Callithrix jacchus: one gene and its partners. The protein of the gene in region 3 interacts with the protein of the main gene of each other region in a pairwise test. Links are inferred from orthologs where the notes say so. Each region holds a gene or a part of one and is shown on either strand. Other genes may lie near its edges.

What was found.
Region 1: the proteins of SAXO1 (region 3) and FHL2 interact in binary tests that used the Homo sapiens proteins (3 or more experiments, as listed by UniProt). The two-hybrid records come from large-scale screens. The link is inferred for Callithrix jacchus from reciprocal best matches to the Homo sapiens genes SAXO1 and FHL2.
Region 2: the proteins of SAXO1 (region 3) and FHL3 interact in binary tests that used the Homo sapiens proteins (3 or more experiments, as listed by UniProt). The two-hybrid records come from large-scale screens. The link is inferred for Callithrix jacchus from reciprocal best matches to the Homo sapiens genes SAXO1 and FHL3.
Region 4: the proteins of SAXO1 (region 3) and ZMYND19 interact in binary tests that used the Homo sapiens proteins (3 or more experiments, as listed by UniProt). The two-hybrid records come from large-scale screens. The link is inferred for Callithrix jacchus from reciprocal best matches to the Homo sapiens genes SAXO1 and ZMYND19.

Annotation. Positions count from the first base shown.
Region 1 is NC_133515.1:15,511,125-15,518,680, reverse strand, and holds the start of FHL2 (four and a half LIM domains protein 2), read left to right. Parts: upstream 1-3,686; 5' UTR 3,687-3,801; intron 3,802-7,556. UniProt on the Homo sapiens protein: May function as a molecular transmitter linking various signaling pathways to transcriptional regulation. Negatively regulates the transcriptional repressor E4F1 and may function in cell growth.
Region 2 is NC_133508.1:74,579,726-74,587,243, forward strand, and holds the start of FHL3 (four and a half LIM domains protein 3), read right to left. Parts: upstream 3,934-7,518; 5' UTR 3,860-3,933; intron 3,702-3,859; exon of another isoform or gene 3,530-3,701; intron 1-3,529. UniProt on the Homo sapiens protein: Recruited by SOX15 to FOXK1 promoters where it acts as a transcriptional coactivator of FOXK1.
Region 3 is NC_133502.1:125,549,875-125,556,741, reverse strand, and holds part of SAXO1 (stabilizer of axonemal microtubules 1), read left to right. Parts: intron 1-2,555; coding exon 2,556-2,735; intron 2,736-6,867. UniProt on the Homo sapiens protein: May play a role in the regulation of cilium length. Stabilizes microtubules at low temperature.
Region 4 is NC_133502.1:185,937,392-185,944,758, reverse strand, and holds the start of ZMYND19 (zinc finger MYND domain-containing protein 19), read left to right. Parts: upstream 1-2,864; 5' UTR 2,865-3,124; coding exon 3,125-3,175; intron 3,176-3,341; exon of another isoform or gene 3,342-3,704; intron 3,705-4,663; coding exon 4,664-4,723; intron 4,724-5,155; coding exon 5,156-5,278; intron 5,279-5,492; coding exon 5,493-5,599; intron 5,600-6,190; coding exon 6,191-6,331; intron 6,332-7,367. UniProt on the Homo sapiens protein: May be involved as a regulatory molecule in GPR24/MCH-R1 signaling.

The DNA of each region.
Region 1 (7,556 bases), on a different chromosome or scaffold from region 3:
TGCCAAAGCACCATATTTAGGAATATTGATTCCTGAGTCCCAACAGAAGCCATTGTTGGAGACCAAAATACACCACCTGTAAATGTGCTGGAAAAGTTACCCTTTTGCAAGAGAATTCACATCTATGAAGGAGATCTCCATTCCTGCACCATGAAGAGAAGGATGACTGAATCCCTCAAGATGCTTCTGTGGAGAAGGTGCCAAGTTAACGTGACCCATTTTGTTCATTTCCTATGCTTTTCCTGGGCATTCCTCTTGCCCATAACAGATTTTCCTATACTGTTCTTTCTCTGTTTCAGAAAATGATGATACTTCAGCCCAAAGTTTCAACTCCCTCTTGGATCTACTCTAGAGACGCTCAGCTCTCTGTGTAACTCCCATGGATATAGAAGGTATCCACACTATTCAATATTCAGCTTGTTGGTTTTTCTCCTGTTGATCTGTCTTGTGTTCCAGGGCATCCCAGCTAAGAACTCATGAAAGGTTCACTGTTTTTCCTCTCCTTCATTTTGGGGGGCTGTTCCTAGAGATCAAAGATGAGCCCTGCAAACTGGGAACCCTCTCAAAAAGTCCTTTGTTATTTGGGCATCCCAATTTCTAGTCCTCCAGCCAAGCTTCCTTGACGGGAGGTCCTCCCTTAGGACTCTCAGTGCCATATCTTCCTGATGTTATTGTCTCTTGAGATACTCTGCCCTACTCCAGAGGCTGATCTAACACTGGAAGTCCCTGCTCCTTCCCGGACACCTACAGGACTCACTGCATGGGTCAGCTGGCTAGTCTGTGTGGGCAGTCAGCACTTACTCCAGAGGGACTTTGGACGGTCCAAGCAGAGCTTTGGCACGGCAAATTCAAACTAATAGTCCAGAGGATGGGGCTCAGCCTGCACACTCTGCCCCGGGCTATGTCTGTCTAGAGTCTCCCCTGGCAATAAGACCCAACACAAAAGCACTGAAGCTACCTCATGCTGTGTCTTAGGCCAGGTCCTATTCATGGGTAGGTAACCCCATGCTGATCTCCGTAGACAGAAGAGGAAATTAAAGGATTTCAGGCCTTCTGTGCCCCAGGAGCCAGGTTGGGAGAGGAATCCTCACTTCCATCAGACATATCACTGAAAATGAGTTCTAGGAAAAGAAGAATTCCTCTGTATCACACAGTCAGATGGGGAGGTCATTACTTAAGTTAAAAACAATTTTTAAAAAACAAAGTAATCATTAAAACACGCACTTCCTTTAAATAAAAGGTCCACTAAATGCCTTTCTAATGTCCTGTTCGGAGCATAACTTGAGCCATGTTAGGTCAGATAAAAGTGACCCAGCGTGATAAGAATATGTATTATGATTACATATATTACATAAAGTTTATTTTTCTTTTCCTTCTGTTTTTTTTAGTGCTCTTTTCTTTTCTTTCTCTTTCTCTTGTCTTGCCTTTGTTGTGACAGGGGCACTTAGAGGATTCGACAGGCCCAGCTGCATCAGATCACTGAAGGTGGCATGAAAAAAAGCTTCGGGCCTTACATAGGTTTCCCAAAGACTGAGGAAACCCCAAGGACTACTGTAATCTTCAAATAAACTCAGATTAATTCATGCAGAAACATAGAAAGTTGTCTTCTGATTCTCAGAACTAAGATTTTAGATGAAGTTAATTTTCTTATAAAAGGAAGACAACATTATTGTAAATAATTTAGAGATTGCATATAAGACAAAGGAGAAATAAATCAGCCATATGCATTCCTCCAGCCATCACCACCTTCCATATTTGTGGCATATCCTTTCAGGATGTTCGTGTGTGGGGACGGGGGAGAAGGGTGCTTACCTGTGTGTAATAGCTTCATATTATACATACACCCTTTTTCCCTCAAGGACAATCGCCATTGCCGTCCAGGCTGGAGTGCAGTACCGCGATCTTGGCTCACTGCAACCTCTGCCTCCTGGGGTTAAACAATTCTGCTGTCTCAGCTTCCCAAGTAGCTGGGATTACAGTCACCTGCCACCATGCCCAGCTAATTTTTTTTGTATTTTTTGTAGGAACAGGGTTTCACCGTGTTGGCCAGGCTGGTCCCAAATTCCTGACCGTAGGTGACCCACCCGCCTCAGTCTCCCAAAGTGTTGGGATTACAGGCTTGAGCCATGACTTGCTTTTTATTATCAACATATTATATGTTTTTTTCCTATATCATTAAATATTCTCCTTTGACATTTCTAAAGATTGCAGCATGTTTTGCTTTGTTTTTACTTTACTTTTAGAGACAGGATCTTGCTCTGTTGCCCAGACTGGAGTGCGCTGATGCAATCATAACTTGCTGTAGCTTCGAACTCCCGGGCTCGAGTGATCCTCCTGACTCGGCCTCTGAAAATGCTGAGATTATAGGCATAAAGCACTGCGACTTGTCTGTTTTGATTCTTCATACACTATTTCTCTTTTTTTTTTTGAGACAGAGTTTTGCTCTTGTTACCCAGGCTGGAGTGCAATGGCGCAATCTTGGCTCACTGCAACCTCTGCCTCCTGGGTTCAAGCAATTCTCCTGCCTCAGCCTCCCGAACAGCTGGGATTACAGGCATGCGCCACCATGCCCAGCTAATTTTTGTATTTTCCATAGAGACGGGGTTTTACCATGTTGACCAGGATGGTCTCGATGTCTTGACATCGGCCTTGGCTTCCCAAAGTGCTGGGATTACAGGTGTGATCCACCTCGCCCAGCCCATATACTATTTCTCATTTATTCAGTCCCCTCTTCTGAGCTATTTACGTTGTTTCCAACTTTTCCTAATTTTGAGAAAAAAAAAAAAAAGAGCTTCAAGAAATGTCCTCTGCCCATATACACTATTCTTTCCTCAGGATAAATCTGCAGGCCTAGAATTGTTTTGGTAATGCAGACAGCTCTCACCAAATAATCCTCGGAAGAAGTTGGCCCTCGCCATGGGCGAGTGCCTTTTCAGCATACTCGTAAGTAAGAAATTTCAAAAGAATCAGGAGCTGTTGATATCCCAAATTAGTTTTCTTTCCTCTCCCAGCATATGGCTTTTAAAAGGCTCTGGGAATTTCACTGTTTTAATTTCATAGAGAAAACAATGTGTGGCTCGAGAAACCCTTATAATCATGCATGAGCAGGGAGGAAGGGAGGGAGAGAAATTTCTGCAAATGTATTTCACCCATGGCTTCCCAAATGCCTGCCATTTATTGAGCCTATTGTTCGGGCTTCCCTAACATCCTCTCACCCAAGCAAATGAACTCATAAGCCAAAGAGAAGGTCAGTGAGCTCTTTCCGGAAGGCAGCACTAGGAATCCACATTTCCCAGCTCACAGAGGGGCTGTGGGGCCTGGGGGAAGTGTCCCTCCACTCCTGGGCCTCCATGCCAGGCACCTAATCTGAGGGGTGGACAGAAGTGCAGCTGGGCAGCCTGTTGGAGGTTCTACCTCTTGTTTGCCAAAGTAAGGTCCCTTTCTGGCACTGGTGGCCTTTCCACTTCAGCTACCCTTTGGGTTGCTGGAAAATGTGAGGTCTGAGGTGACCTTGAGGCAGGCAGGACAAATGAGGACATGGCAGCCCTTTCCCTTCTGGGAGCCGAGGCTCCTTTAATGTGGAGGCCTTAAAAGGCATGTAGGAATCAGGGACTGGGTTCTTATCTCCTGAGCCTGGCCAATGTCCAGATGCACCTTATTTATAGCACCACTGACAAGGGCAGCACAGCTGGCTGGCAGCTGCAGAGAAGGTTGGGGCCATCTAACCAGGCCATCTGCCTGCACGGCTGCTGTCCCTGCTCATCGGGCTGGAGGACAGAAGACAGAACCCTGACACTGCAGGTAAGGACCACTGGTTCCCCATGCCCTTCTCTTACCCTTGCCATCCTTCCCAGCCTAACTCTGCAGCAGGCTTGGACAGCAGTTGTGTAGGCATCTTGCTCCATGCACAGGGAGCGTCCCAGGCCTGGGAGGAAGCTCTCAGGCACTGGGAGCTCACTGACCCCAGCAGAAATGCAGGTGGTGCTGGCTGCTGGCTCCTACCAATGGCAAAGCCCAGGAACGGAAGCCACCCTGCCCAAAGATACAGGGTCCTTGGCTTGAAGATAGAGAACCCTGCTCATTGGGAATGAGGAGAGGTTTAAATGAAATTGAGCCCCTGCCTCCACTCAGTGGGAATCCATTTTGAACACCAGAAAACATTTTTTAAGGGGAAAGCAAAAGAAGAAATATTATAAACATTGGAAACGGGGAAAACCACAGTGCACTTGAACTTTTTCTCCCTGACAGAATTTCCGGAAAGCCTGGGCTGAAATGGCAAATTACTGATGAGTCTGATTACTCTGGGAAAGTGTGTTTATACAACATGACTCTTAGTGGCTGATGGTTTGAAAGTCCAGAGAGCTGTTGCATGCTTTAAAAAGGAAATGCATGAATATTTTACAATTTCCAGAGCAGGGCAAACTCTAGGATGTACAGTCCTGAGTAACGCCCTGGCCAATTGTGTAATAATCTCAATACTGATAGGGTGACATATATATGATAATAGACATCATCTATATAAATATCTTCTAGCCAGACTCCATGCAAGACACTTTATCAAGTCTAATCTAAAAAGAAAAGAAAAAGTTGTCAGTCCAGTTTTTGTTTCTAAATTATTCTGAAGTCCGAAGAGTGTTAATAAATACCTGCATTACAGGTTAACGCTGTTGTAGCTCATATTTGCTGTATGTAAGTTTATTTTCATTGTTTTATTTGTTTCTTGAAGAATATTATTTGAATTTTATTTTATTGCTAGGCTTTTACAATTTTATTGATACATGAATAGAATTTACATATGTATGGGGTACATGTGAGTAGTTCAGTACATACACAGAATGTGTAATGATCAAATCAGGGTTTTGGGGTATCCAGGATGGGCTGGAATAAGGTTTATTATATGTTGAGATCATTCTGACCCAAGTTTTTATATTTAATTGAGTAGCTGACTAATCGACTCAAATGATTACATTTTGGAGGCTTTTTCTTATATTAAAAATATTTTAAAATATAACTTCCATGAAAAGTTGCATATTTTCCAACACAGGGTTCCCAGACTGCTCACCCATCACCTGTCTTTTAGAACATTTCTTACTTTTAAGTCTCATTGTTCTATTTAGAGCTTCCAGAGTTCTCCATTGATTTCAGATCCCCGAGGCTAGGCCAAGCCATGCCTCTCACTGCATTCCCATGACCTGAAGCACAGGGATGGACACACTTTCCACTGATCTCTAAAATATTTCATATTTACAATACATGGCCCAGAGACTGATTTTAATTCATTCTCTCTCCACCAAAGAATGAGTTAAAATTATATTGAGTGCTTACATTTTCTTTTTTTACTCTACAAATAATCTACGTTTACTATAAAAAATACAGACCAGCAACAAGAAGAAAATGGAAAATTATATATACTCTTATTACTCAAAAGATAACTATTCTTGCAATTTATTGTTGATTTTAATTATTTATTGATTCTAAGGTATCTTTGACTGAAAGACGTAAACCATTCACTTCATAGATTTTTTTTTTAATCCCACTATGAGATATTTTAAGGTGAATCCAAAAACATTAAGTTATTTGGGAAACTGTAAATTATAATTAACAGAAACATATATACATCAATCAAATTACTTGGTAATCTGCTTTCTGTCCAATTTATGGTCAATGCCTCTTACAGCTGTTTCAAAATCTAATTCCTTGAAAATTGGTTATCTCTATATATCGTTATGACCCATTTTGGTTAGTCAATATATTAAAATATTCATAATAGTTGGATGGATGAAGAGTCAAAGGGCATAAAGATTTAGATAAGATATTTTGTTAGAATATAGCGATATAACATCAGTTCAAAGTATGATCTGGTAATTGATTTCTACACTAGTACTGGTCCCTTTCGAATCATGAAAAATTCAACCATCTTGTGCCTTGATCTACATGCCCCCCCATGCCTTACAAATCTGGTTTACTGATTTTTTTTTATTCCATTGATTTATCAGCACCTCCTCACTTAGTCTCTAATACACTAAAATATGGATGAAAAACAGAAAAGAACCAACATAAGTGCTGAGTAATTTAATGTGTTACAATTTGGGATTTTATTTGAATTTAATGGATACATTTTAGATAGGGAAAAGAGGAATAAAAATTCATTTTAACACAGGACTTTTGTTGCGGTTAAAGAGCAATGCTGAAAAATTAAGCTGAACTAAAACCATCTGAAGCCAACAATTCATAAAACATACTTGATGTGTTTTATTAAGGGGGAGCATACAATTAGGTATTAAGAGGAAAGTGCAAGAATTTCATTCTGCTCTTTTATTATTATTTTATGACTTTTTTTTTTTTCCGAGACAGAGTCTTGCTCTGTCACCCAGACTGGAGTGCAGTGGCACAATCTCAGCTCACTGCAACCTCTGCCTCCCGGGTTTAAGTGATTCTCCTGCCTCAGCCTCCCAAGTAGCTGGAACTACAGGCATGTACCACCACACCCTGCTAATTTTCATAGTTTTAGCAGAGACAGTGTTTTGCCATGTTGGCCAGGCTGATCACGAACTCCTGACTCCAGGTGGTCCGCCTGCCTCTGCCTGCCAAAGTGCTGTTATTCTGGTCTTTAAAGAATAAGCATGTCTAGATGGTATCTGAAGCGTCTGTGGCAACCATCTATTTTCATATTAAGTAAAAGCCATCATAGTGCTTTTTCCCTGGGCTTGGTTCTGTGCAGCTAAATCTAAACTAATTTCAAAATATTAGCCCATGGTTTCATATGAACACAAAATAGAAAATGACATTATTTGAATATTCTACTTCAAGTCGTATCCTTTATAAGAAGATGAAATGGTTAAGATGAAGACACAATGGGTTACATAAAAACATTGTGTGTGTGTGTGTGTGTGTGTGTGTGTGTGTGTATATATGTAATATGTAATAACTAAAACCAATAAACAGTGCAATGGCTCAAAAGTGGAGTATGGTTAAATAAAATATAATATAGCCATAGTATGGAATATAGGCAACCATCAAAAATAAAGTTTACATAGAACTTTCAATTTTTAAAGCTCTCAATACAAAGCAATATTCATAATATATGAACTGAAAAAATACACCAAAATATATAAAATAATCATTTCTGAAGGATATGATTAGTAGTAATTTTATATTTTTCTCTACATATTAAATAGTTTACTAAATGTTCTACACTAAAACTGATTATAAAAGTTTTAGTAATGCAAAATTCTATGCAAACGTAAAACACTCTAATTATTACCACCAATTATAAAAATTGTAAATAACCAACCAGAATGATTTAGCCTATTAAGAATAATGGCTAGTTTGGGAGGCTGAAGGGAGACAATTGCTTGAGCCCAGGAGTTAGAAAACAGCCTGGGCAAGAAAACAAGACCCCAACTAAAAAAAAAGAGTTAAAATTTATTGAATGACCATTATATCCAGGAACTATGTTTTAGCTCATTTAACACAACAGCCCTATAGGCAAGTGTTACTATTAATTTTATCGTTACTCCTATTTTTGGAGAAGGAAACTGAAGCTTAGAACTGTG
Region 2 (7,518 bases), on a different chromosome or scaffold from region 3:
AGTGTGTGGAGGGGCTCGAGCTGCAAGATTTGAATCCCAGCTCCTACACCTACTAACTGGGTGACCTTGGGCAAGTCACTTAAGCTCCCTAAGCTTGTTTTCCCATCTAATTACATGAGATGCTACTACTTCCTACCTCCTAAGGTTGTTGTCAGGCTTAAATGTGATGATAATTGTAAAGCACCTGGCAGATAATAAATACTCAGAAAATGGTAGCTATCAGTATTTTTACTGTTAGCGTCCTCTCTCATACTGCGGCCAGATAGCAGGTTTACAAGTAGGTCTGGATCAAGGAGCCGAACTGGAATTTTTTTTTTGTTTTGAGACAGAGCCTTGCTCTGTTGCCCAGGCTGGAGTGCAGTGGTGCGATCTCGGCTCACTGCACCTCCGCCTCCCGGGTTCAAGAGATTCTCCTGCCTCAGCTTCCCAAGTAGCTGGGACTACAGGCGTGCACCACCAGATGCAGCTAATTTTTGCATTTTTAGTAGAGACGGGATTTTTAGCCGCATTAGCCAGGGTAGTCTCAATCTCTTGACCTTGTGGTCTGCTCACCTTGGCCTTCCAAAGTGCTGGGATTACAGGTGTGAGCCACCGCACCTGGCTAGGACTGGAATTTTTAAATAGAGATGGGGTCTCAATATGTTGCCCAGGCTGGTCTCAAACTTCTGGGCTCAAGCTATCCTCTTGCCCTGGCTTCCTCTGGCGAAAGTGCTAGGATTACAGGCGTGAGTCACCATGACCAGCCCAGATTTTTTTTTTTTTTTTGAGACAGGGTCTCACTCTGTCACCCAGGCTGGAGTGCAGTAATGCGATCTTGGCTCACTGCAATCTCCGTCTCCAGGGTTCAAGAGATTCTCCTGCCTCAGCCTCCGGAATAGCTAGGATTACAGGAGCACACCACCATGCTAAGCTAATTTTTGTATTTTTAGTAGAGACAGAGTTTTGTGATACTGGCCAGCCTGGCTCAGCCTTTTTTTTTTTTTGAGTTGGAGTCTCACTCTGTTGCCAGGGCTGGAGTGCAGTGGCACAATCATGGCTCATGGAAGCCTCAAACTTCTGAGCTCGGCCAGGTGAGGTGGCTCATGCCTGTAATCCCAGCACTTTGGGAGGCCAAAGTGGTTGGATCACCTGAAGTCAGGAGTTCAAGACCAGCTGGTCAACATGGTAAAATCCCATCTCTACTAAAAAGACAAAAATTAACAGGGCATGGTGGTGGGCACCTGTAATCACAGCTATTCCGGAGGCTGAGGCAGGAGAAATGCTTGAACCCTGGAGGCCTAAGTTGCAGTGAGGCAAGATTGTGTCATTGCACTCCAGCCTGGTCGAAAAGAGCAAAATTCTGTCTCAAAAAACAAAAAAGTAACTTCTGGGTTCAAGCAAACCACCTGCCTCAGCCTCCTGAGAAGTTGGGACTACAGCCATGTGCCATCATGCTCAGCTAGGTTTTTCTATTTTTTGTAGAGATGGGTGTCTCACTGTGTTGCCCAGGCTGGTCTTTTAACTCCTGGCCTCAAATGATCCTCCAGCTTCAGCCTCGCAAAGTGCTAGGGTTACAGGCATGAGCCATTGTGCCCAGCCTGTTCTGAAATTTGACCTGGACATTCTCAGTGTAGGCTCAGGAAGAGAACAGGAGGCCCCAGGCCCATGGGACTTGCAGAAGACACCAGTGGGGCCAGTGTCCTGGTCACTCCAGCCTGGTCATCAGCCTGACTCTAGTAAGCATGAATCTGAGATCTCTCACACAGGTCCACGGGTGTTAGACACCTGCATGCTGCTTTGCCACTCGAAAAGTTCATGCCTATCCCATCTCATCAGATCTCACAAAAGGCAGGAAGGACGGAGTATCATTCCTTCCTGCCTTTTGTGTTATTCCTTCCTGCTTTTTGTGTAAAATGTATCCCCATTTTACAATTGAGGAACAGAGCAGGGTCATGCCCAAGATCACTCAGGTATCAGGACCCAGATCCCCTGCCTCCCAGCCCAGAGCTCTGCTGTCTCCCTAAAAATGCTGCCCTGGTGATGAAGGAGATGGTCAGCTTTTAAGGGCAGGGTGACAGGAGATGCAGCAGAGCCTGGCTCTTCTCCCTAGCTGCTAGCCCTGTGATTGGAAGGCACCCAGAAGCCTTTCCAATGACCCATGCCAACCATTCAACCCTTCTGTCCCCCACCCCCAACACACCCACTGTCCAGGAGGACCCTGGCCAGGTCCCACAGCTGTGAGTCAGGATCAGAACAGACCCCTCCCCCACCTTCTAGAAGCTGACAGGAGACTTGAAGGGAGAAATTCAACTCCCCCAACCCTCACCCTCTGCAAGCAGGCACCAGCCCCAAGCTCTGCTCTCCCCCATGGGGCCTGAAAGTCAGAGAAGTTTAGGGAAGGGGGTTGGGGAGCAGGATCCCGAAGCTGCTCTGAGGACAGGAGAGGAACAGTTCATTCACCCCAGTCCCCCAGGGCTGAGGCAGCCCGTCCAAGATTTGAGTTTAAAAATAAGTTAGGGCTGTCCTGGTGGCTGTGTGTGTACGCACGGGGCTCTTCTTGATCTAGAACTTACTGTCTCCGGGCCTCTGCCTCCTGAGGGATCAGTGGGCTCAGAGTTTCTGTGTCCCCAATGGTTCAGGCCTGGGTATGTCAGGGGCTGTCTTGGAAGCTGTCAGCCCACCTAGGTCTCTCTGCCTCCATTAAGTCTCTGTCTCTGCTCCACTGAGCATGTCAGTCTGGGCACACTTCAGCTGCTGTCTTTAGGTTTTGGACGGCCCTGTATCTTGACTGGCTGTCCCCCCATGGGCCCATGCCTCTGTGGATCTCAAGTCTTGGTCTCTTCTTGTCTACACGGCTGAATATCTCAATGCCTACTACCTCCCTTTCTCTGTCTCTGCATCCAGGTCTCTTTCGCCATCTCTGCATACCTGAATGTCTCTGTCTTTAGTCTCTTGGTGTCTCTGCAGGCCTCAGAGAGCAGACTCAGCATGATGCCACTGACACCCACGCCGCAGGGCACCTCCAAGGCCCAGAGAAGGGCCCTAGCAATGTGTTCGCTGGGGTTCTACGTAAGCTTTTTCTGAAAATGCTCCACAAAGCCTGGGTCGGCCCCCATGCCTCTGGTCTGTCCACCGGTAACTCCGTACGCCCAGTGTGTCCTTGTTTCAATGATCTCGATAGCCTCCTGTGCCTCGAGTCCCTGCCTGTCTCGGTCTCTCGCTCCACCAGGCTTTCCGAGAACCTCAGTTTCTCCAGCGCTCCTGCTCGGTCTGTCTCTCTCTGGCTTTTCTATTTCAAACTTAGCCCCCCTCCCCCGCCCAACTCTCGCTGCCGCCCCCGCCCCTGTCCCGCCGGGCAGCCCGGAGGGGTCCAGTCCGGGCAGGCGGTCTCCCGGGCTCGGCGTGTCCCGGGCGCCCGCCGCCAGAGCCCAGCGGGGACAGGGGGCCGGGGCCGCGGCTGGCCTCAGCCCTCCGTGGGTCCGCTCGCTCCCCGGCCCGGGCGAGGGGGAGGACGGCCGGGGCTGGGAGCCGGGGTCGGCGTGGCGCTCACCTCGAAGCGGGCGGCGGGCGGCGGGCGGCGGGAGCGGGGCGCGCGGGGCGCGGGCGGGGCCGGGAACCGGGCGCCGCGTTCCTCGGCGGCTCCTACCTGCGGGCCGGGCCGAGCGGGGGCCGAGCGAGCTGCCGGCGAGGCTGCCGACTGCAGGCGGACCGTGTGGGCGAGTGGGAGAGCGGCCCCAACCCCTCCCCGAGGAAGTCCGCGCCGGCCTGCCCCGCCCGGACCCCGCCCCCGGCCCCCCAGCCCGCCGCGGGGGCCAGACCCCGCCCCCACCTCCCTTTCGGCCGCTTGCCGGCCCGGCCCCCTCCTCCCTCCCGGCCTAACCTGGCTCTCCCAACCTTCGGGCAGCCGGGAACCAGCCCCTGTCCTCTCCCCGCAGCCGCTGCTGTCCTCCCCTCCCACCCCCATCCCCAGCTGCCAGAGGGAGACTGCTGTATTCCATCTCAGGCCGGCGGCACCAGACCCCGCAGACCACAGTCCATTGGGGAAAAGACTTCTGGCCCCCTCGGATCTCCCCGCAACCCCAACCTTAGCCCTAGGGGTGACACTCAGCCCGGCCTTAATCCAGGCTGGAGGAGGAGGTTTTGACTCTGCTGTCTTGAGGCTGTCAGCGGGTACCAAGGTGTTCTCTGAAAACATGGGGCAAAGAGAGGACCCTTCCCCACCATAGGGCCTTGACCTTCAAAGGGTTTTATTCCACAACTTTGAGTGACAAAAACAGGGTAACCACCTCCCCATCTCCAGCAGCCTCCTGACACTGAGAAGTCCTGCTTTGCCTGGGTTTCCGCAGTGCCCAGGAATAGTTTTGACCTTTGAAGCTCCGGGGAGACCCTAATCCTTGGCCCCATGATCTTTGGCTTCTAGGGAGAGGTGTGAGGAGTGTGAGAAGATGGGGCGCCACAGGGGTGGTGGAGGAGAGCGGAGGGGACCTCTGTAGTGTCTGAACCGCTGGCTTCCTTCCTCCCTGTGTCTGTGAGGAAGGACTGGCGCCTGCTAGGGACACGAGGCCCCTCTAGGTCCTTGAGGCTACCCACCCCCCATCCTCAGGCTTGTCACTAGGAATAAATAGCCTTGGTCTGGAAGGGTGGGGAGGGAGGGAGGCAGGAGGCTCTACTGTGTTGTTTGGGGAAACAAGAGACAGCAAACCAACCCCGGAATAACCTTAGCATCTAGAGTGAAGATTCAGGTGCACAGAGACCTCCCCACACCCCAGACTGGGTGCAGCTGAGCTCTCAAGGAGGAACTAACACCCTCCCAGGCTGGGGCTCCTGAGAACCCTTCCCTCCCATTTCTGTGTCATGCCTGGGTTCCTGGGTCCCAAGTCACCTTCCAGGCCTGGTTTCCTTTCAAAATTAAATCATTGCTTGTTTATGATTGCTGTTGTTGCCTAAATGGTAAGAGCCATGAAGGCAGGACTCTTTTTTTGTTCACCACTGCCTTCTCAGTGCTTAACCCAGGGTCCGGTACATCATAAACATCTGATGACTGAATGGATGACAGACACTGCTTCAGTATGGGTGTCCCTCTAACATCCTCAGTTGGGATCACAGGCATCTGCTTTCTAGAGTCCAGGCAGTGAGCATCCAGCCCATGGATGGGGCCTTTCTCTGGGATTTTTTTTTTTTTTTTTTTTTTTTTTTTGAGACAGAGTCTCGCTCTGCTGCCCAGGCTGGAGGGCAGTGGCGTGATCTTGGCTCACTACAACCTCCACCTTCCAGGTTCAAGCAATTTTTCTGCCTCAGCCTCCCAAGTAGCTGGGACTAAAGGTGCATGCCACCACGCCGGGCTAATTTTTTTATATTCTTAGCAGAGACGGGGTTTTACCATATTGGCTAGGCTGGTCTTGAACTCCTGACCTCATTATCTGCCTGCCTCAACCTCCCAAAGTGCTGGGGCCACAGGTGTGAGCCACTGCACCTGGCCTCTCTGGGATTTATCTGGCAGGTGTAAGAAACTCCCAGCCCAGGGCAAAGCAGTGAAGAGTACTCAGTCTTGGTAGAGTGGGTACCAAGAGGAGGTCAGCTCTGGGCTGATGGGAGGGCAAAGGTGGGGCCCCTTCAGAAAGCGGGAGTTTATGAGTGGGTGCAGAAGGGCCCGATGAAAGGCAGAATATTGGAATCTCTGTTCTTGATGCATGGCTCTAATCCCTCCTAACTAGTCATAACAAGAGCCAGTACTTCCTGAATTCTTTTTTTGCACCAGTCCTAAACATTTTACATATATTAACATACCTTATTATTCAAGAACTTTATTAAATATATGTATATATATTTTTTGTTTGTTTGTTTTGATACAGTGTGTTGCTCTGTCACCCAGGTTGAAGTGCAGTGGTGCAATTACAGCTCACTGTAATCTTAACCTCCTGGGCTTAACTGATCCTCCGACCTCAGTCTCCCAAGTAGCTGGGATTATAGACAGGCATGGGCCACCACACCCAGCTAATTTATTTTAATTTTTATTTTTTGTAGAAGCAGGAGTCTTATTATGTTGCCCAGGCTGGTCTTGAACTCCTGGGCTCAAGTGATTCACTTGCCTTAGCCCCACAAAGTGCTGGGATTACAGGCATGCGGCACCACGCCTGGTCTAAATATATATTTTTTATCCCCATTTTAAAGATGAGAAAATGGAGGCATAGAGAGATTAAGTAACCTGGCAAGGGCGACACAGGTAATAAGGGCAAAGTTAGGATTCAAATCCAGATTGTTGGCTGGGCATGGTAGCTCTTGCCTGTAATCCCGGCACTTTGGGAGGCTGAGGCAGGAGGACTGCTTGAGCCCAATAGTTTAGGACCAGCTCTGGCAACAAAGTGAGACCCCCGCCCCATCTTTATTTAACGAAAAATCAAATCAGCAGGGCACAGTGGCTGTAATACAGGCTGGGATCATACCTGTAATCTCAGCACTTTGGGAGGCCGGGGTGGGCAGATCACGAGGTCAAGAGTTTGAGACCAGCCTGGCCAACATGGTGAAACCCCATCTCTACTAAGAATACAAAAATTGACTGGGTGTGGTGGCACTTGCCTGTAATCCCAGTTACTCGGGAGGCTGAGGCAAGAGAATCACTTGAACCTGGGAAGCAGAGGTTGCAGCAAGCCAAGATCGCACCATTGCACTGCAGCCTGGGCGACAGAGCACGACTCCATCTTGGTGGGGAGGGAAAAAATAATCATATCTAGATAGTCAGATGTCATAGCGCTTATGCCAAAAATGAGCTTCACCATTAGGCTCTAGTATCTGTAGTCATTTTATCTCTGTAAACCTCAGTCTTCTTGCTGTGAAAAGTGAATGACTGCCTCACAGCATTGTTGTAAGGATTGGATGAGAGCACATAATAGGCTGTTAATATGTGGGGACAGTCCCCCTTTCATGGTCAAATGTTAAGGTTCGGCTGCTTAGCCTTGGAGTCTGGGGGTCAGAGAGTTAGCTCTCTGGCTTGGGCCCACCTGGGCTAGGGAAACCAGCCTAGGGGCAAGCTGCCCACAGGGAAGCTGTGTCTCCCCGTCTCAATTTCCACTCCCCAGTGGGCTCACATTTCCCTGCTCACTCTATTTTCGCTGGCCCAGGAGGATGTGCCCCAGGAAAGTCCTGGGATCAGCCACATGGACTCCCTGTTCCTGTTCCCTATCTATGCGCCCCACCCCCGCCTTGGGAAACAGGTGTGTCTGAACTGGAGCTGGAAGCAGAGCCCGGGAGCTGGACAACTGGCCTTGGGTGAGTAGAAGCCTGTTGTTCCTCTGTCACCCTGGAGGTCCCCATGTACTCTTCTTTATCTTGTTCTTAGGATACCCCTGCTATTTTTTTTTACCCTGCAAGGATTTTTAAAAGAAGGCTCTGGGTGGCTACTGACAGGCCTCTCATGGTTTCCTCTGGGTGGTGAATCACTCTGTGATGCCTGTAACCACAGGCCTCCTTCCCCCTAGTGCGAACACAGGCTTTCTTCTCTGGGTGTATTGCTGACTCTTATACTGGCTGCCTACAGCCCTT
Region 3 (6,867 bases):
CAGAAAGCAGAAACTGGACCCCTTCCTGACACCTTACACTAAAATTAACTCCAGATGGATTAAAGACTTAAACATAAGACCTGGCACCATAAAAACCCTAGAAGGAAATCTAGGCAAAACTATCCAGGACATAGGAGTAGGCAAGGACTTCATGAACAAAACACCAAAAGCATTGGCAACAAAAGCCAAAATAGACAAATGGGACCTAATGAAACTCCACAGCTTCTGTACGGCAAAAGAAACAGTCACTAGAGTGGATCGGCAACCAACAGAATGGGAAAAAATTTTTGCAGTCTACCCATCTGACAAAGGGCTGATATCCAGAATTTACAAAGAACTCAAACAGATTTACAGGAAAAAAACAAACAAGCCCATTCAAAAGTGGGCAAAGGATATGAACAGATACTTTACGAAAGAAGACATATATGAGGCCAACAATCATATGAAAAAATGCTCATCGTCACTGGTCATCAGAGAGATGCAAATCAAAACCACATTGAGATACCATCTCACGCCAGTTAGAATGGCGATCATTAAAAAATCTGGAGACAACAGATGCTGGAGAGGATGTGGAGAAAAAGGAACACTTTTACACTGTTGGTGGGAGTGTAAATTAGTTCAACCATTGTGGAAGACGGTGTGGCGATTCCTCAAGGCCTTAGAAATAGAAATTCCATTTGACCCAGCAATCCCATTACTGGGTATATATCCAAAAGACTATAAATCGTTCTACTATAAGGACACATGTACACGAATGTTCATTGCAGCACTGTTTACAATAGCAAAGACCTGGAATCAACCCAAATGCCCATTGATAATAGACTGGATTGGAAAAATGTGGCACATATACACCATGGAATATTATACAGCAATCAGGAATGATGAGTTTGTGTCGTTTGTAGGGACATGGATGAATCTGGAGAACATCATCCTCAGCAAACTGACACAAGAACAGAAAATGAAACACCGCATATTCTCACTCATAGGTGGGTGATGAAAAAAGAGAACACATGGACACCGAAAGGGGAGTACTAAACACTGGGGTCTATTGGGGGGAAAAGGGGAGGGCCAGTGGGAGGGGGAGGTGGGGAGGGATAGCCTGGGGAGAAATGCCAAATGTGGGTGAAGGGGAGAAGAAAAGCAAAGCACACTGCCATGTGTGTACCTTCGCAACTGTCTTGCATGCTCTGCTCATGTACCCCAAAACCTAAAATCCAATAAAAAATTAAAAAAAAAATCAGTCCAGTGTGAAAATGGGAAAACAATTATATGCCATTCATTAAGGTAGCTAAGTTGGAAAACACCAGCATGGAGTTTTTGCTGATTTGCTGGTGCCTGATGATGAGAGGGACCCCAACTGGATTGTGAAGATTGTCTTTGGGCACACACAACATTGATAAACTGCCTTCACTTAGTTTTCACAGCTTTAACAGCTGCCTTAGTTCAGCTGTAAGTAGCAAGTAAATAAGTTTCATTTATTACCATGCATGTAAAATGGAAAAGCTCATTGTCAATTATAACTGCTAGATACTGTCTATCATTTGTTCAGTTCATTCATCGCTAGGCATAAAGTTTATATAAGCATTCACTTATACTCAGTCTTTCATTGAAGAAATGTTTACTGAATGTGCCAGTATGAATTCTGTAAACATTTATTGAATGAAAAATTCAGGATATGCTGTATAGAGATGTATATCATGTACAGTGAACAGTGGACAAGGTTGAAAAAGGTCCTGAGTGTGACAGATGCGGCAGACAATAAACAAACTCACCAGCAGATATGCCAGTCATGGATAGCTGCAAGTGATGGGGCAGGCACATGCAGGGTGATGGGAGAAAATATGTGCACACCCAGGGAAGAGTGGTGGGGAGAGGGGATGCAGTGGCGGGGCGGATCCTGGGTATAAGATGATCCCAGACCTGGGAAAGTCTTTCTAAAACTGTAATAACTGAAATGAGACCTAAAAGAATAAAGGAGGGAGACTTTCCATGTGAAGGTGGTTTCACATAGTCAGTGGTGGTTGTTGGACTCAGAACTGAGGTGATTTTGCTTTGATTGATATCATTTATGTACAATGATGATATTCTGAGTTGACCAAGGAGCCAACCAGTTAGAAAAGACCCTGGCTGGCCCCATTGGAGAGCCTTAGAGCACCCTGTTAGGTGAATAGTAAGCCCTGAATTCTTGGGTTGATGGGAGACCACAGGGGAGGACCTGGGGCAGCTGGGTGGCACTTGGAGTGCTTGGGACATAGCTATTTCTTTATTATAGTACAGAAATATTTCCATGCTTACACAGGCAATGTGGCATGTGTAACAGCTTGTGTGTAATTCTGTGATCCAAGGAATTTTTATTAACCAATTGTAGTTACAGACCACTTTTATTTTCTGCCACTTCACATAGTTTACTGGAAAAAAGCAAGGGTTGAATTCTGGTTTTCAGTGTTGGCTGTCATAAGATTTTACGGTCTGAATCACATATGGTGGAGTACTCTTATCGAACTGGATGTATTCCTCCCAAGAAGGTAACCAAGCTAACTCTGTGTCTTTTGCAGGCGGCATCACTGTCCACATCTCCCTACCAAGATTTACGATCAAACAGAGAAACCATGTCTTCTCTCCGAATATACCGAGAACTACCCTCTCTATCACACTTACTTGCCCAGAGAGTCCTTCAAGCCAAGGCGGGAGTACCAGAAAGGGTCTGTACCAATGGAAGGCCTGACTACATCAAGGTGAGGGCAAACAGTATTAATATATGCAGGTACATCCAACACTAATGTAGGAACGTGCAGTGCTTAATGTATAATATTAATGTAATAATGTACAGTGCTAATGCATTAATGTACAGTATCAACATATGGTATTAATGCCTTAATGTAGTATATAGCTGAAAGAAAATCCTGCATTTATGAGCCTTCTCAATTTTTCCCAAATCCTCTGTTAAAGAGAAAGGATTCTTGGGGGAAGGCTGGATTGATATAATAAAGGATTGGAGGTTAAGAAAAATATTTATGGGATGGAAAGAGTGGAGGGGGGATGTTGCCGAAAAGCAAGTTTTGGGCTTTGTTACATGAAAAGCTCCAGACCAGGTTGGGTAGGTTGGGGGTAGGGGGGTGAAAGAGAACTTGACAATAGAGAAAAAGTGAGGTTTTTTTTTTTCTTAAAATTATGCTGCACATTTTGAATTGGGGTTCTCCTGAATATTCTTCAAGAAATAATTTTTTTTCCTTTTAAATTATTCTTGACTCCCAAACTCAGAATGTTTAGCTCTAGGTCTGTGCAGTGGCTGAGCCACATGGCTCAGTACATTAGTATTGCAGAGGTCTTTGCACTGAGGTGGTGCAGAAAAATTCTCAGTTCAGGGTTGTTCTATAGGCAAGGCTCTCAGAGAATCTGCCATGGGCAGCTTAGTTAGTGACCTGTGACTGGTGATCTAGTAGATCAGAAACATCTTTGAGTGTGATTGAGCAGTCTCAGATTGTATAGTTTTGTCCTCAGCTGAGACCTGAAAGACTGATGTGTTCTCAGCCCTGAAGGGCAGGGTTGCCATGAGGTGGAGATGATGGTGAATGTTAAGTGTTCCAGCACAAAGCTTGCACATTGGTGCCCAAGACCTGGTGACTTTTCTTCCTATTGCTGCCCTTTTGCCTGATAATTTTGTGCTAATAAAGGCCCCAGATGGTGTAGGAGAAGCAGAACCATTCTAACTCATTCTGCCTTCAGGTTTTCTCCAGAATAGGACTGGAAACATCTGTTGAGATTGTGAGTTGGAGGTTCTCTGTACACAACACTGCTATCTTCTAGATCCATGAGCAGTCCATGTCTGGGTGTTGGGGCAGGAGCAACCACAATGGGAGAAACAAAGCCAAAGGATTCCTGAGCTTCATGGGAACCACTGTGCTGGGGCTTGAGAATGAGAGGGAGTTGAGGGCCTTGTCTCATGCTTGATTTGTATCAGGCCACTTTGTTGTTGTTGTTTTTTTCAAAAAACCAAGGTCTCCCTCTATAGCCATGGCTAGAGTGCAATGATGTGATCATAGCTCACTGACGGCAGCCTCGAATTTCTGGGCTCAAGTGATCCTCCCGCCTCAGTTTCCTAGTAACTGGGATTATAGGCATGGGCCATCATGTCCAACTACTTTTTAAACTTTTTGTAGAAACAAGAATTTGCTATATTGCCAAGGCCAGATGATTACGTTTATTCTAAGCATTTATCTTAAATGATTTGGTTTAAGCACAGTGTTTCTGGGTCCTGATGTATTAACAAATTATAATTTACACAGCTGTTTTTTTCAACCTATGACTTATTAAAGAATATAAACCCTAAAGTTTGGGCTTCTTTTTGCCAGGAAAACAGTATTCTTTGTCTCTGAGAGTCTAAAGACCATAATGAGAAGCGTGAACCATTTCTGAGCATTGGTTTTCTTTTATGAAACCCTGGTCAACACCAAGTAAGAGTCATAAGCACATGTACAAGAGACATGTAACTGGTAGGAAAGGACAAGAGTAGCACTGAAATGTGGCTTGCAAATATCATGTTCAGTCTCCAGGTGTGGGTCTTTTTATCTTTCAATTTCCAGTTTGCAGGAAATGAACACTTTGTGAAATGTCTAGTTGGCTTCAGGCATTGGTATATTTCCTATCCTGAAAGTACAGACAAGGATGCTTTAAAAGTTTGTTGTTGTAGGTTGTTTTGTTAGTTGCCCACAAGCTTAGGAGAATGAGGACAAACCCTTAGTCCTGTGGCTGAAGTCTCGCCCCAACACCTAGCTCGGAGGCCCCCAGATGCAGCTCCTTGCCCTGCGTCCTCCTGATGGTGCTTTGCAAAACAAAAACTTACCCTGTGACCTGTCCTAAATTATCCTTGCCTTGTGTTACTTACAACAATAAACATATCACCCAGAAGGGCCCTCTGCCCCTGCCAGAGCTGGAGTAACGATATATATCATGTACATCAAGTGTGGCTAAAGCAGAGGAAAGCAGATTCTGAAAGAATTTCCAAAATAAGCCATTAATGAACATAAGGGCCTTAAAAAGAAAAAAGTGGTGGGATCAAGGTTATCCATGGGGAGAAAAAAGAGCAGATATGAAATTCTTTTTATTTCCTACCCTAAAAAGAGAAGTAAGGAGGAAATGAGCAGAAGACATCTATGTTCTCCTTTCTACCACAATTTCATTAATTCTCAATCCTGTGCCTGCCATGCTGGGCACTATTTTTCATAGACCGAGAACAAAATTATGCCACTCTCAGGAAATATAGGGAAGCTAGTATCTGGGTGTTCCCCTGGAGGCTTACAGGGGAAGGGATGTGTCAGCCCAGTCTCTCCACACCCCTGTATCTGCACGGATTGTCACCCTTCTACTCTTAAGACTCATTACTGGAACATCCTGCTCACTTCTTCATCTAAACATTGACTCTGCTTAGTTTCTGAGGTTGGATATAGGGCTCCCACCTGCTGAATGAAAAAGTCATGTGGTCCAGGGCTTGGCTGGGTTTGGTGATTAAGCCCAGACACAAAAAAACACCTGGTTTCTGGAAAGGTTATCATCTCAGCGTGAGGCATGATTACAGCTGCACACAACTCTTACTGGCCATAAATCTTGGGGATTTACAGCAGGTGCCATGAGGGGAATGCTTGTGATTTCCAACCATTCTTAGTGTGAAATGGTTTCTTGCAATCCTTGATAATTCTCTGGTATAGAATCTGCCTTTAGTTCAGATAGACCTGAGATCAATTTATGAATAAGAGGTTTGCACTTCAAGCCTCATTTCCCCATAGGCATGTTACCATGTGAAACACTTGGACCCCAATTTGAGACATTCTGTTAGCTAAGCCAGCTCCTAAAGATGGGCAAAATGAAAAGCATTAGAAGAAAGAGGTGAGTCTTCAGTGCTGTTAGATCTTTATCCTAAAGGGAGAGGGACCATGGGTGGAGTGGAATGGCGGCACAGAGTGAGGAGACAGAATTGAGTTCGGATTTGATGGGTGTGGCTGAAAGGCAGAGGGCAGGGAATTGGCAGCATCAACTCTGTCACTTAGTGACAAGACTCCTTGGTAAACCAAAGAGAGTAAGGGAGGGAAGAGCTGAGAGAGAAAAGGCATTTGGTATCCTTTCCAAAGGTCAGGAAAGAAGCAAGGAAGTTGGTAGCAGGCTTGTCTCTTGTGCTGCCTATTGAATTTTATATATTTTTTGTTCAAATACATACTTGAGTCTCCTACTCAGAGCTGTACCACTGGGGTATACTTAGCCTCCATAGCCTGGGCTTGAGAATCAGTGTGAACACAGGGCAGATAGAGTTCTCAGCACTGGACTTGCTTAGGTAATCTCAGAGCCTTTGAATTGTCTATAATGTATTTCTGATTAAATTTGCAGACATTTTGGTCATTATTTCTTCCAGTAATTTTTCTTTCCCTGATGCTCTGTTCATTCCCCCCGCCACTGCCCAATCTTTTCTTCCCCTTCTCTGTTCTTCAGATTGGATAGTTTCTGTTAATCTAGTTTTCACTTCACCAAGTTTTTCTCCCTTATCTCCATTTGGTGATTAAGCCCAGCCAGTGAATGTTCTGTTTCACATATTTTGCAGTTTTATAATTTGCATTTGATTCTTTTTAATACAGTTTCTACTTCTCTTACCTGATTTCCTGTCTTTTATTTTATTATGACCTTACGTTGCTTTCCTTGTTGAGCATGGTTTAAAAAGCTGTAAAATTTTTGTCTGCTAATTGCAAATGTCTGGTCTGCCTGGAGTTGGTCTCCATAAGTGTCTTTGCATTCCCCTGAAGAGTGTTTTTATCTTTGGCAGGCAGGTTATTTGATTGTTGAAAATGCACACTCTGTGTCTTGGGTGGCAGCTCCAATCTC
Region 4 (7,367 bases), about 60 Mb from region 3:
GCCTGGCCAACATGGTGAAACCGTGTCTACTAAAAATAGAAAAATTAGCTGGGCGTGGTGATGTGCACCTGTAGTTGCAGCCACTTGGGAAGCTGAAGCAGGAGAATCACTTGAACTCGGGAGGCGGAGGTTGGAGTTAGCCAAGATCATGCCACTGCACTCCAGCCTGGGTGACAGAGTCAGTCTCCCTCTAAAAAAACAAAAAAGAAAGTCTTGCTGGTTTTGAAGTTTGAAGATGTGAGCAACCTCTGGAGGCTGAGAACAACCCTGAGCCAGCAGCCAGTAAGGGGAGACCTCACACAACCACGTGGAAGTAATTGTCAACAATCTGAAGGAGCCTGTGGGCGGGTCTCCCTCCGCCCCTGCTCAGAGCGGAGGCAGCGGACCTCCCGATTTCAGCCCGGAGACCTACCGCAGAGAAGCCAGTCAAATCCACCTGCACTTCTAATGCAGAACTGTGAGAGTGTGTGCTCTTTTGTACCACTGCATTTGTGGTAGTTATGAAGCCATACAAAACGAACTGAGACAGCAAGTATAGACAACCTGTCACAACTTTTGCTGGGACAGGAAGCAGGAAAATGAGGCAGTGGCTGGAAAGGGACGTGGGGCCAAGGGCTTCGGTTTAAGGTGCATGGCCACAGGAGCGGGATGCCGTAGTGATAGGAAGCGCCACCCCAGTGTTTCATAATTCCACCCTCGCAGGACACAGAGGCAGGGTGCCACATTCATACTTCAGTACAATATGTCGATAAAGCAGCCTGCTTGTGGGGGGCCAGGTACGAGTTCCCAAGCCAGCTGGGCACTGCCCACAGCACTGCGCTGTGTCAAGACCTGCATGTCTTTCTCAGCTTCGAAGCCAAGAAGTCACCTTGTCCGCAGCAGCCTCCAAGCAATGACTGCAAGGTGAGGGGTGAATGCTGGGTTCCCCTGCAGCAAGGTGAGGGGATGAATGCCTTGGCTCCCCTGGCCCTCGGGGAGGGACTCTGAGGATGGTTCCTACACGACCTCCTGCCACAGTCACTGGACTGGTAGCAGCCCCTTACTGCCTCACACCCCCAGTCTCTTGCTAGTGTCTTCTCTCAAGCTAACAATTTGGACTTTCTTGGTTCACTGCGAACTTGTCTCCCAGGTTCAAGCGATTCTCCTGGGATGTCTCCCCGGAGTAGCTGGGATTACAGGCATGCGCCACCACGGCAGCTACTTTTTTATTTATTCATTTTTTTTGAGACAGAGCCTCTCTCTGTCACCCAGGCTGAAGTGCCGTGGCTCGATCTTGGCTCACAGCAACCTCTGCCTCCCGGGTTCAAGTGATTCTCCTGCTTCAGCCTCCCAAGTAGCTGAGATTACAGGCGCACTCCACCACACCTGGCTAATTTTTGTATTTTTAGTAGAGATGGGGTTTTTCCATGTTGGTCAGGCTGGTCTCAAACTCCCGACTTCTGAGATTATAGGTATGAACTACTGGGCTTGGGGACACCAGTGCTTTTCAACTACCCTAGGGAGGACTCATCAAGCTCGTCTGTGTGGCCCCACGTCTTTTCACAAAGCAGTTGCTCATAACCTCATCACACCCTGGGAACTCTATAAAGTAGGACAGGTATGTTTTGAGCTAGGCTTCGCCTGAACCCGGATGTGTGTCTCAGGCAGCCCCTTCTCTTCTCTAGGGTGCCTGGGGGTACTGGCAAGTACCAGGGGACCTAGAGGTGGAACGTCTGGGCTGATTCATGAAAACCTTTTGCAGGCTGGGCATGGTGGCTCACGCCTGTAATACCAGCACTTTGGGAGGCCGAGGCCGGAGGATCAGCTGAGGTCGGGAGTTCAAGACCAGCCTGACCAACACTGCAAAACCCTGTCTCTACTAAAAATACAAAAATTAGCCAGACGTGGTGGTGCATGCCTGGAATCCCAGCTACTTGAGAAGCTGAAGCAGGAGAATCTCTTGAACTCGGGAGGCAGAGGTTGCATTGAGCGGAGATTGTGCCACTGCCCTCCAGCCTGGGTGACAGAGCAAGATTCTGTTTCAAAAGAAAAAAAAAAAAAGTCGGGGGGTTAGAAGACAGAAGCCAGCAAGCCAGAAAGAGGCCTGTGCAGCTCCTCAGGTGCCGGAGTCGCCCCTGAAGCAGGGTGAGGGCTGCCGGCGGCGACTGGACACCGCGGAGCAGGACGCAGCATCCGGCCCCGTTCGCTCCAGGCTGCAGGGCAGGCCACGCTGCCCACCACTGCGCTCCCGGCCTCCCTGAGCGGGTCTCGGCTTTCCCCGGAGCCTAACGGGCCTCACTGGAGTCTGGGACCACCACGGCCTCTGGAGTTCCGTTTCCTGACGCCTTAGACCAGGCTGCTCCGGCGGCCAGCCGCCCTCCGGGTCGCGTGGGCCAGGGGTCCGCGGTATCTCCAGGCACTCCCGCGTCCCGAGGCAGCAGCCTCTTCCTGGCCCGCCTCGCCCGCTCCCCTCCCGCTCAGCGGGCCCCGCACGCGCTCCGTCCGCCTCCTCCTTCCGCAGTCGGGGCCAGGACGGTGGCGGGAAACAGCATACGGGGGCGACGGCGAGGGAGGCGAAGGGCGGCCGGCTCGCAGAGCTCCACGGGCCCGGCGCGAGTCCCGGGCCGCGGCGCGCATGGCCCCTCCGGGCGCGGCGCCGCCACCCGCACAAAGCTTCCCGCGAAACTGACGTCGGCGCGCGCAGGCACCGCCCCCGGCCTCGCCCCTCCCCCGCGCTCGCCTCGCTCCTCAGCGCGCCGGCGCCCTCTCCCTCCTCCCATTGGTTGTTACAGAGCGGCGCGCGCCGACCGGCGCCGTGCGCGCCTCCCGATTGGTAGAGCGGCGGCGGGCCGGGGGGTGTGTCCCGGGCCGCGCCCCGCCCCTCCGCTCCGCTCGCGGTGGTGCGCGCGGTGGCGGCGGCGGTAGCGGCGACGGCGCGTGGCAGGTCCGGCGGGCGCGAGGCGGCGGCGGCGGCGGCGGCGGCGGCCCGAGCCCGGCCCAGCCTCGTCCCGCCCGGGGCCCGCCTGGCTGCGACCCCGACCCCGGCTGCGGTCCTGTCCTGCCCCGGCGCGCCGCGGCCTCGCCCGGCCCCCGCCCGGCGCCTCCCGAGGGAGCGGCGCTGCCGGCCAAGAGCGCAGGCCCGGCCATGACCGACTTCAAATTGGGCATCGTGCGGCTCGGCCGGGTGGCCGGAAAGGTGAGCGGCGCGGAGTGCGCGGCCCGGCCCGGCCCATCTTGCCCGTCCTGGCCTCCGCGCGGAGCCGGGGGCGGTTGTGCGGGCGGCGGCCGGGGCGGGGGCGCGGAGCCCGGGATGAGCCCCGGCGGGGTGGGGGGCGCTGCGCGGGCCCGACTGCCGGCCCCGCGCGGGTGCAGCTTCCTCCCGCAAGGCCGGTGGGCACGCACCTCGGCTCCGGGGCGCACCTGGCCGCCCTCGGCCCTGCCCTGCCGCAGGTGGAAGCCACGGCCCTGTCTCGAGCCAGGTGCGGAGATGCCTGACTTGAGCCCGGCCGGTGTTCATCCGGAGCCCTCCCCGTGGTGCCGGCGAGCCGGGGCCTAGTGCGGTGTCCGGGCTGCTGGAGCGGCCACACGGTTTAAACACAGCGCCCTTTCGAGGCAGCGCCACCTCCACACCTCTCGCCGAGGCGGGTCTGGTGTGGGCTCTTCCGTGCCTCCCAGTTCGCAGCAGGGCTTCGGGCTCGTTTTAACGCTGCCAGGCCTTGGCCAAGGTAGGCTGAGCCTCAGGCTTAGAGCAGAGAGGCAGGAGCCTGGGTCCTGATGCTGCAGACTCAGGGCCTTCCCCTACTTCTCCGTACCGGTCCTCACGTTTCACGATTGGGGCCGGGGCTTCCATGCCACCTGTAGGCACTGAGGCTTGGCGGTTTCTGGAGCCACCTGTGCAGCTGCACCAGCCAGGTTCTTGCCTGGATAGGAGCCCTGTTCCCATCACCAGTGGCTGCAGCTTTTCTGGTGGGAGAGAGGAGTGGAGGCAGTGGCAGGCGGCGTCAGGTCAAACAGGTTCAGATCCCAGAAAAAAAAAAAACGTCGAGAGAGAGACTGGTCGGTTCCTGGAGCTGTTTCTGTTTCCTGCCCCTGCTCCAAGAGCATAGGTAGGGCCTACTGTGGAGGAGGCTTTCCCACCGGGGAAGGGTGGGCTCCCCAGTCAGGTCGAAGACCCGAGACCCCTTCCAACTCTGCCACTGATGGCATTGTTATCCCTTATAGCTTTTCTTTGGAACATTTTGGGTGGACAGAAAGCTAAAAAGGGGAATTCAGTGAGTACTTCAGCTTAATAAACACACCCTAATCAAAACCTGGCTTTTCTGCCTCCGTCCAGGCCCCTCCCTCAGCCCAGTGAGTTCGCCTCTGCCTAAGTGTATCGGTGCGTTAAATGTTGGGTGCCACTGTTGGGTTAGGCCTGCGAGGATGGGGCCTGATACCGGCTCCTCTGGCACAGACTAAAGTGGGCAGCTGGCTTGTCACCGGTCTGCCTGCGTTTTTGCACAGGCTGCACGACCCCAAACTGCAGAATGAGACCCCCACGTGCTGAGCTGCCTTCCTCTGAAGAGGCCTGTGGTTACTTCCTACTTCACAAGAAAATGCAGCAGGCTCCTGCCTGTTATGGGTTATAAGGCTGCTGCACTTCAGGATCCCAAATGTAATGGTTTGAAACGTGGTTACTTTCCAGACCAAATACACGCTGATCGATGAGCAGGACATCCCGCTGGTGGAGAGCTACTCCTTTGAGGTGAGTGAGGATGGCTGTTCCCTCCCCTGATGCTTGTGGTCAGTGCTCAGGAGAGTCATGAGGAGCTCTGTCCCCTGTGCTGCAAGAGCAGGCGGCCCCACAAGTGGATATCTGGTGCCAACCTGTGAGCCCTGAGCCCTCAGCTGCCACATCCAGCGGTGGGCCTGCAGACCCTGGCTGTCGCTGCCACCAGAGCCCTTGCAGCCTGATGACACGGCCTTCCCTCACTTTCACCCTGTCTGCCAGCCCTTCTTGAAAGCAAATAGTGTGTTCTCACGTTTGTAATCCTGTCACGTGGGCCGTGTCTGTTAGCTTGGATGACCCTGCTCCTTACAGCTGGCCACCTATGCTTGGCCTGCCCTAGCAGCCCCTCCAGGTTGCCCAGCTGCCTCCCGTTCTCTGCTCTCATGGGGTCTTCCTGCCTCTTCCCAGCTTCCGTTCCTGCCACTGAGCTCGGCCTCCCTCACCACGCTTTATCTCTGCGCCCCACACATTCGCAGTCGTGACTTGTCAAGGGGTATCTCCATCTTACTGCACTGTGGGCTTTTTTTAAGGGTAGGAAAATGTATTGAATAGAAGCATGGTGGGGGGACACACTGGGCCTGGGGCCATGTGCCTGTGGGAAGCGCCACACTCCCCAGGGTCTCAGGGACAGGGCTGGCATTTGTCCCTCAGGCTTGCCTGTTTCACGTGGGTTTTCTAAGAGGGATTTGAGGTGTTGCTGAGAATTGGAGCCTTTTTAATAGCTCTTTTCCTTGTTCCTTCTCAGGCCCGAATGGAAGTAGATGCTGACGGAAATGGCGCTAAGATATTTGCCTATGCCTTTGACAAGAACCGAGGAAGGGGCTCTGGGAGACTCCTTCATGAGCTGCTGTGGTGGGTGTTTCAAAGCTGCCTCTGCCCCCTGCCACAGGGCTCCTGGGTGAGCTCTGATGGCACAGGGTGCCTGGAGCCCCCTGCCCCGCCGAGGCCCTGCCTTGCCTTCCCTGAATTTCGCATTTATTTTTGTGTCCTTTGTCACTAACCTAGAGGAACGAATGATTTGTATATTGCACTTCAGACACCAAGTGGACTTTCTGCTGGGCGCTTGCCCAGGACCGGTGGCTTCTGGAGGGAGAGTGGGGTTGCTCCCCTTGCTGGGTCTTCACTGAGCCCCCCAGTGTGCATGGTAGGGGCCACTCAGATGGGAGCTGTCTTGAGTCCGTCTGCTCAGGTGGTTTTGGGTTCCAGCCTTAACTCTGCTCCTAAGTCCAGGGGCCAGGTCCTCTCTGTGTCCCTGTCCTGTTTGGGCCACAGACCAGGTGCTTGGATTCCTCTTGGCAGTTTCTGTCTGAAGCACCCTCATCTGTAGGAGCAGGGCCTGATCAGATCACATGGCCGATACTTCTTCCTGAAAGGACTTTGATGCCTGATCAGAAATACCCGTGAGGGTGGGAGGCGGCAATGCAGGGCACTGTCTGTTTCTAGGGAGCGGCACCGGGGGGGCGTGGCCCCGGGCTTCCAGGTGGTGCACCTCAACGCAGTGACTGTGGACAATCGCCTGGACAACCTGCAGCTGGTGCCGTGGGGCTGGCGGCCCAAGGCTGAAGAGACCTCCAGCAAACAGAGGTGGGTCTTCTCAGGGCCTGGTGAGGCCAGCAGAGGGGCCTTTTGAGGAAGGCCACCTTTAAAGCGCTCATTTCTAAGAGGGTCTCATGTTCTTCTTCTGAGCCCTGATGCTTCTGTGTGTTTGGGACTTTCACTGTTTTTCCCCAAAGCGTGGAATGCTCCTTTTCTTCATGGGAGTGGGAAGGACCTTGATAGTGTGTTTCTGCGTGGGTCTTCTGATAACTGGCCTGGGAACCCCCCGTTAGCCGATGTGATGAAGTGGGGAAGAGGGCTGCCTGCTCCAGGGCAGGGCTAGCACCGGTATTCGGTGGGAGCAGGGCTCCCAAACCCCTGGAAGGCATTAGCCTTCTTTCCTCCCCTCAGGATTTCTTCTGTGCACAGAGATAGCTCGGTCTCTTTGTTGTGTTCTTTTGCTAAACAGTTTTCCTTAAGCAGATGTTTAAAGCGGAGGATACGTGGTTCCCACCTGCCTGTGGTCCTGAGAGCAGTGCTTTGCATGGGCTTCCCACATGGGAGGGCAGTTCCTGCTGCCCCAGGACCAGCCAGGCTGTGAACTTTGTGGAGCCCTTGGGAGGAGCGGAGAGACCACAGGAGGATGGGGGTCCCCTGGGGCTTCTGGGCAGCCTTTCCTGGTGCAGGCAGTGCTGACTGCCCTAGCAGATATAACCTAGCAGGTTATCAGCAATGCTGGTAAGGTTTAGGATTGCGGGCTTGGCGATGGTTGGTGGCTGTGGGTGGAATCTTTGCAGTTTTCACCTTGGTCGTGCCAGAGCCCTGTGCAGCCGAGGTGGAGACAGTGGGACACCTGGCAGACTGGTTGGTGATGTGGGGACCGTCCCCAGGCCTCCAAATGCCACCCTCAAATTGCTGCCTTGGAGGGAGTCCTACAAGTCCCCCTCACCCCTTCTGCACTGGCCTCACAGGGCAAAGGCAGAGCGTGCAAGTGTCTGTCATTCTTCTTTGGCTGGTGGCTTTTTTCCTTGTTATGTTTATTTCATTTTATTAATTAATTTTAGAGATGGGTCTCACTATGTTG